Linked DNA regions of Neodiprion lecontei. The protein of the gene in region 1 purifies or fractionates together with the protein of each later gene. This does not show direct contact. Links are inferred from orthologs where the notes say so. Each region holds a gene or a part of one and is shown on either strand. Other genes may lie near its edges.

Evidence for each region. Proteins that work in one complex are often made in the same cells at the same time.
Region 2: the proteins of partner of Y14 and mago (region 1) and protein mago nashi homolog purify together in Drosophila melanogaster (affinity purification with western blotting; 4 studies listed by BioGRID, with this or other methods). This does not show direct contact. The link is inferred for Neodiprion lecontei from reciprocal best matches to the Drosophila melanogaster genes Pym and mago.

Annotation. Positions count from the first base shown.
Region 1 is NC_060261.1:39,573,832-39,578,125, reverse strand, and holds partner of Y14 and mago, read right to left. Parts: upstream 2,315-4,294; 5' UTR 2,027-2,314; coding exon 1,996-2,026; intron 1,596-1,995; coding exon 1,499-1,595; intron 1,407-1,498; coding exon 896-1,406; 3' UTR 892-895; downstream 1-891. UniProt on the Drosophila melanogaster protein: Regulator of the exon junction complex (EJC), a multiprotein complex that associates immediately upstream of the exon-exon junction on mRNAs and serves as a positional landmark for the intron exon structure of genes and directs post-transcriptional processes in the cytoplasm such as mRNA export, nonsense-mediated mRNA decay (NMD) or translation.
Region 2 is NC_060261.1:3,555,403-3,559,094, reverse strand, and holds protein mago nashi homolog, read right to left. Parts: upstream 1,862-3,692; 5' UTR 1,709-1,861; coding exon 1,268-1,708; 3' UTR 778-1,267; downstream 1-777. Other genes in the region: transcription elongation factor SPT4, read left to right, coding at 2,784-2,852, 3,584-3,690. UniProt on the Drosophila melanogaster protein: Core component of the splicing-dependent multiprotein exon junction complex (EJC) deposited at splice junctions on mRNAs. Involved in exon definition of genes containing long introns, including the rolled/MAPK gene.

The sequences.
Region 1 (4,294 bases):
CAATTTTTGGGGAAATGGTTTTGAATCTTTTTACGTCGTATCTGGTAGACATTTCTTTACATCGCAAAATGACAGTCTGCAATTAAGGGCGAAAAAAACACAAACATTGTTTTGCTCGTAATGGAGATCCGGCTTATAGCTTTAGCAATACTCGTTATGTTCGAACGGGAAAAGTTGTATTATAAGGTGGTCATCTTCGAGGAAGTTACAGAGTGTAGCAGAGGTGATAAGGATAAAAGAACATACTTGGTTATGTTTAAATCATCTCTGTTTTATTAAACATTTGGTCAATGATGATGAATTTATTTTATTTGCTAATAAAATTTGGGAGTATTCTAATCTAATCTATTGTTACACTAGCTTGAACATTACGGGGAATTTTTTAAATGATAATTTTTATTCTATATTTCCTTCAACATTTAGTATCATCGATATTTCATAATAAATTTATGAATTTCAGGTCTTCGGTTAATACAGTTAAAGTTATGCACATCAAGTACTTGTACTTGTTGATTGTTACAATAATTCGTTAAAATGCTCATGTAAGCATTTAGCCAAAAATGTATACATATACATTAAATAAAAATCATATAACATACTAATTTAGATTATACATCGTTATTTTTCAAATAATTATCACGTGCATTTCAAGGATAGAGAATTTACTGTACAGTACGAATAGTTTTGAAAACTATGTTACAACAATAATTATTATTCCTACTATTATCATAATTATTTCGAAATTCCACTCAATATTAATATAATAAAACAGCAAACATCAATAATTATCCTAAATGGCACAATTACATTTTGTACCGATAAAGGGTGACAAGTGTAAAAAGCAGAAAAACTCAAAGTAACAATAATAATAATAAAATAGGAGTTTGATAGCCGTTTAGTGGTTTGCTTCCAGCTGTTCAATATCTTTTAGAACCTCTGTTTTCCTCATGACTTTGTCGTACAATTCTCTCTCAAGAATTTTCAATTCTCCTGATTTTATCTTCTGCTCTATGGTTTCAATCTCTCTTAACTTTTTTTTCAAGTTTTTGAGCCTTTTCGCTGGATCTGTGTTTTGAGTGGGCAAGCTATTGCTTGGGGTCGGAATAACATTTGTGTCGTTGGTCACCGGCTTTTTCTGGCATTTCGGCTTCGCCGATTTGCCATTCTCTACAACGGGTGGTGATATTGTCGTTTTAGAGAGACCTTCCGTCACTGCGTCGACTGCTTTACTCTTACTCTTCTTTTTCTTCTTTTTGTTATCGTTTGCTTTTACCAGACCTGGTATCTGCGCCGACTTTGCTGCTTCGGCTTCTCTCCTTGCTTTGTGGGCCGCCACAAACTCAGCGGTCATTCCAACAGGATAACTAGGCCGATTTCTACTGAATTGCCTGCCCTTACTCTCGTAGCTGAAGTACAACAAACATGAATCATTGACATTGAATGAAAAATTTTCCATAATTTTTTCTTCGATTATCTATTCGAATGTATTTATACTTACAGTGGAACCTCTTCTTGAGGTATGTAGCCGTCCCTTACTCTTCGCTGTTTGCGCCAAGTGCCATCCGGACGCTGACTTGCCGGAATGAATGATCCACCTGCGTCAAAGAAATCTTTCTCTATAGTTGGCATGTAAATAAAAATATAAGGTCAACGGCTATTTATTTAACAAAGTAAGCAATCGATTCATTAGATTCAAAATTCAAACTGCTAAGCTTAGTTGCCAAATTTAACGTGAACAATAATAAACAATGAATGATGCCAACAATAACAGTAACGAAAAGAATAAAATTTAATATGTAACAACAAATATGGTGCTATCATTTCGATGGTTGAGGTGAAACAGGTGAAAACTGAGCTTAGCACGTCGATTAATGCTGTAAACATTGTTGTTCGGAATGATTCTATATATAATTGTTTATAATGTTTGAGGTTAGAAAAAGAAAGATATGATTCAAGGTGATTTATCATGGATAAACAGGATAGAATTCAGTATACCTTGATCGTTTTTCGTGTCCGTTGACGCCATTATCACTTATAAATACTAATTAAGTCACAAATTTACGTATATTCGAGGAAATGTTCTATAGTTCTCGATTCCCTATTTTTCCACTTTTCTTCCCTACGATCACAAACGCTTTGATTTAACAAGCGTTGCTGCGTCTGGTTTTCAACCACAGATGGCGTTCGCGTATTACCAGCTTCGTTTGAATCACGAACTAATGCTAGGATAGCCGGAAAACAAGCGCGAACAAATTTCAAACAATCACAAGCGAGGTAACATTCGTTTACGCATATGCAACTTATATGCAACGAAATTGTCCGTACACAAGCTAGTTGTTCATTCACCTTTCGCCAGTTATCAAATAATCCAACTTTTATCAGTTATCAGTTGGGGCTTTGCGATCACTTTGCCAACTTGAATCCAACACTGCACACGTCGCGGTTCACAGGACACTCGCAAGTTATCGAATCGATGAAATTATCACTGACTAATTCACTGTTAGAGTTTGCAGAGGAAATTCAACCGAGGAACCAGCAAGATGCGAACTCCGTGGTGGTTCTCTGCTATTTGATTTTTGCATACGACGAACTGCACTTTTATACCACAGGCTGGACACATCGCGAGTGGTAGGGAGGGGCAGGTATGTCCGAAGTGGGAAATAGAACAATAAAGGACCCTTGCGATTTCCTTTGACCCCGCCCTCCCCCGAAAGGTTGCTGCACGTAGTACATGTGGCGCCTACCTGCGTGTCGTAAATGCGGATACACCTGCGCCAGCGTTAATTGGGGGTAAGCTTCGACGATTGTACAATTGCTAGAAGGTGTCATTATGGTCTTCAGGTACGTCGTCCCGAAACGCGGTTATTGACTCGCCAAATGCGATTTCCTGTCCAGGAATGCAGGGTCAGAGTGACGTGGCCTGGGTCATTACTCCCTTCCAGAATAGTCATTATTTTGGATACAATTTTAAGGGGAGTTTTCGGTGCGCTTCATAGCTGTGAGAAATACCGGTCCTAGAGGGTTAACGATTTTTTGTGCAACTTTATTTGCAAAAAATAAAAAAATTAATCTATGATCATTGCACAAATTCTATCTTTTGACTCAATGAAGATATCATGAAATCGACGCGTAACATTTCATATTACAAGTTCTCGTATGCACGGTATAACTAAATCGGGAGCGCTGCGCAATAATCGTGCAAAATTTCGTTTTTGACGGTGAAAAAATCTTTTTCGTCGTCGCATCGGTTTGTGAACCTTTTTTCATACGCAATTTTGTATAAAAAAAAGTACTCCAGGGATGGAAAAAAATACGCGAAGGCCCGGATCGGCACGGAGTCAGGGTCAATGTCGCGTGGAAGGCAATGATATTTTCTGAGAATATGAGACCTCGCAGGACTCTTCTAAAATACTTATCGCCATATCTTCTGTGAATTAAAAAAAAAATTTTTGTTCCATTCACGAGAAACGCGATAATTTTTGCTGTCCCTTGAACAGTGGTTTTCGATGAAACATATGTATAAAGTAAATGAATTATAAATAATTGACAAAAAATGTCGCATTTTTTTTTTCATTCTTGAAGTACTTTCTTTATGCGAAATTGTGCAGGAAAAAAGATTCACAACTCGGTACGACGACGAAAAAGATTTTTTTACCGTCAAAAACGAAATTTTGCACCGTAAATTCGAAACGCCGTAGCCGGTGATTATTCCTTAGAGCTCCCTTTTTTTTATTCATATGAGAACTTACAATCTAAAAAACGATGCATGAATTTGATGATATGTTCATTGAGTCAAAAGATAGAATTTGTGAAATGGTAATAGGTTTTTTTTTTCGGCCATAGTAGAGGGTCCTTCGCGAATGCAAATCAAGCTGCACAAAAAATCATGAACCCTCTAGGACAGGTATTTCTCATAGCAAGCAATTGTACCGAACCTTCACCTTAAACTTACGATAAAACTATAAAAACGTTCGTTCGGGTATGCAGGACCGAACAATTGTAATGTGAGATTGCTAGGCAGTTTTCAATGCACAGAAGATTAGTGTGCCATGCGCTGTATGTGTAAGAAAAAAAAATAACACATCTATGATAATTGATACGCTGAAACATGTATATTAGATGATTTCAAGGCTCGATCTATTTTGAGAAATTTCGCTCTCTCAATTAAAATTACTTTTCCGATGGTGCCATTTGTCGTACACTGAGAAAAATTTCATTTGCTATATAAACTAGAGAAATTCAGTAAAACAGGTATCGTTAAAAAAAACTGTTTGAATGACGTTGGGATGACGAA
Region 2 (3,692 bases), about 36 Mb from region 1:
TTAATAGTTATGGTAGATATTTCTCGCTTATTGGATTATTGGATTAGCCAACATACAAGAATAAGATTAAATTGAGATGCACAAATGTGGTGAAGCATGCTTTCAACTGTAGTGCACTGGGTCTTTTGGAATTACTATGAGGCATGTTTTTGCAAGCCACTGCTGTAGCAACCAAGGTATGCCAGAACAATTTTGAGTTTCACGTAACTACACTTTGGTTCATTTTGGTATCTATACCAGTGCCTCGCCAAAATATGCCTATATAGCCAAGTGTTTGATTCAATGGTTTGGTCATCCCGCCAAAAAAGATGGAAGACGGTAAGGCTCAGAACCAATTGAAAAATGAGGCATTCGAAGACTTTCACTTTATACTATAAAATAGCAAAAATATCAGCAAATTACATACTGCGTGCAATCGTTTAGCGTGAGATATTTGAACAATAAGCGTAATGTACAATCGATATGGGTGATTTGCGTACCTTCCACAATTTGACTAAACCCGGGAAATTTCAGATGAGCTCAAACACGCGAAAACACAGTCATTCACGAACTGTCACAGACTGACTCCGTGGGCCGTGAACACCACCTTACATGCCCTACGCCACGAACGCTATACAGACTAGACCGCACGCGACGAAGTGGGGGCCGGTGTGAGAGAGATAGTTGTGTTCTAAATTCCGGGCTACAAACATCAGTCCTGTGCATCGCACATCAATGTTTAAAGCCGTTGTGAGACTAACGAAGGGAAGAAAAGTACATATTAGAAATAAGAACATATAATTTGAAATTCTTTTATTCAATTCTCGGATATATTCCTGCCCAATTATCTTTATTTAAATATATGTGCGCGGCTCGATAATTAATTCCATTCCAATGTTTTAAATGGAATCACTATTTCATCTGAACAAAATTTATAAAAATAAAACCACGTTTAACTGTCGCTTGAAGCTTTCAAGCACCCCAACTGATACACTAGTCTTTTGCTCTGACGGTCAATATTTATATGCGAGAAAAATAATATGCAATGTCCAACATAACCTAACTTAGCAATAAACTTAAGCTGGATCTCAAGCACGGTTTAAGGATGTATTTTTTATAGTGATGGAATTGCTGTACGAAAGACTAAGTGCAGATTTATAGATGAAAACAAACATGAAGTTATCAACAGAATAATAAATACATTGTTTTCATTTTATTTGTATTACTCGTACACATAACCATCGAGACTGGCGGGGGAAAGGGGGGGATATACGATGATGGCAACCGTTTATATCGGTTTTATTTTGAAGTGGAGACCGATGAGCGAAAACACGAGGCACTTGAGGTCCTGGACGAGGTAATAGAAGCATCGTAGTCCTTCCGGATCCCTGGATTGATTGACGTCTAGTAGCGAACCAGTTTTAGATGTTGTGAATGAAATGTGTTCGTCTCCGATGACAATTTCCAATTCTTGTCGACCGACTCTGTCCGGTTGCGGCCATAGAGAATCATCCTCTTGCATTATTTCCGAATCCTGTATTATCCTCTTCAGTTCTTCCATAACGCAGTTGTGAACGTACGCTTCCTTGCGGATCATCGTGTCGTTTTTGTAGTTCGAATTGTTGGCGTACCTCAATTTTCCGTCTGGCCTGAATTCGAACTCGAGAAATTCGTGGCCGAATTTACCTTTGTGGCCTACGTAGTAGCGTATATAGAAATCTGTCGACATCTTCCTCTTTCCTCACTGACTTACTTTGCAATGTAATATAACCGCAAATTGCTTCACAACAAGTACGTGATCGATTAACTTCACAAAGCCAGTGTCGGACGCTAACCGCTCCTTTGCAATGCTGGAATGACACGATCAGCCTCGGAGCATAGAAATTTTAGATGGGCGATGGTTAGGTAGATTGGAAATTTGACGGTTCTCGGATTGGGTGAAAATGACGAATGTAGTGACTCACTCTGGGTATGTTCCGATATACACCGCGAGCACTGTTCAGTGCTCTTACTGGGGAGAAATTCGTTCCGTTATAGACTGACAGTATAGTCGCAGTATCCTAGGGAAATATATGACGTCATAAATTGTCGCCATTTTTCTGCTGTGAACACTGGTGTTTTCGAGGTAAGGTGCTCTCAGTGCTTTGATCACGTTATCAACAGCGTTCAGAAATTTAACAGCTTCCACTATTGATAATTATTATTATTGAATATTGTCATTTAAAAATACCGGCCGTTAAAAACAAAAATGGAAAATTTGAAGAAATTTTATCTATTGCAGTGTGAGACAAATATTATGTATGAAATGAAAGTAACGCCGAAAAATGTCGATCACAGTATACTGTACTGCGTTCCGTTTTAAACAGTAACCAGTATAGCTAACTATAAAGGAACGGCTTCGCAGTATACTAAATTGACGTCACACCTTACAGTGCTCGCAGTGTATAATACCCTCTATCATGGTCTTCCTAGAGAGTTTTTAGCACTGCCTACTGTATATGCTCTAACCCTGCCACCTAGTTTCGGAACGCACCATTGGAATGGAATAGCAAGCACAGGTTCCCGGTTTCAGTCATATACATATAGTTCAGTGTTTGGTTCAGTGTCGTTCAGTCAAGTTCAGTACTTCGTTCAGTGCAGTTCAGTACTTGGTTCAGTGCAGTTCAGTACTTGGTTCAGTGCAGTTCAGTTCTTTGTTGACGTTCACGAACGACCTGTCAGCGTCCATATTAAGCGTTCTGAAGTTAATTTATTAAAAAGAGATTAATTTAGTTCAACAAGTTAGAAGCAGCCGCAGATTAATCATGTCAATGGAGACTGTACCCAAAGATTTACGTGGATTGCGAGCATGTTTAGTCTGTTCACTGATTAAGGTAATGTTATCATCTCTTCCAAACATAACCAAACTTTGAGCCCAGTAAAAGCTATCCTATCTAGTCTATATATAATGGGTCTTTCTCTGTAAGTAGGCAACTCGCTGTCCCAGGCATTTTTATAACAAAAAGTTTTCAAGTAAACATTAAACAAAGTTATTTTTCGAAATATATAACAGTCATTTTTATGGATTTGATAACTTCGCCACCAAATTTCAATTAATTTATTTATTACAATTTTTGTAACACCTCGGAAAACAGTTTCCTGATGTGGCCCGAACTCAGTTTAGAGTTATAAGACAAAATATTTGCCGTTTGTTGCAATGTACCGAGATTTTTCTATAAGACGTTGGAAGTGTATTGTATAATGCATAATATTTTTTCATAATAATATTTTGATTTGATTTAGTTTTTGTCCTAATATGATTTAAAAAGTATCCCAAGGGTTCAAAAACAGTCCCTTGTAGCCGATTTAAAATATAATATAAAAATATTTACAAAAATGTACTATATTATATATATTTAATAGGCAAATCAATACCAATATTATAATACAAAACTAATGGTGTCTTTTCATTCGTTGCAATTTAAAAATGAACTTGACAGGAGACTGTTCAAATTCACCACCAAATTACAGAGAAAGACTCCTCTACCTTTTCAAATTTGCAAATTTCAATAATTATATAATCCATCTCACATTGAGTACTTATTTCTGCTTTAAAATATTACAGACGTTCGATCAGTTTGAATTTGACGGCTGCGATAACTGTGACGAATTTCTTCGCATGAAAAACAACAAGGATAACGTGTTTGATTGCACAAGCTCAAATTTTGATGGGT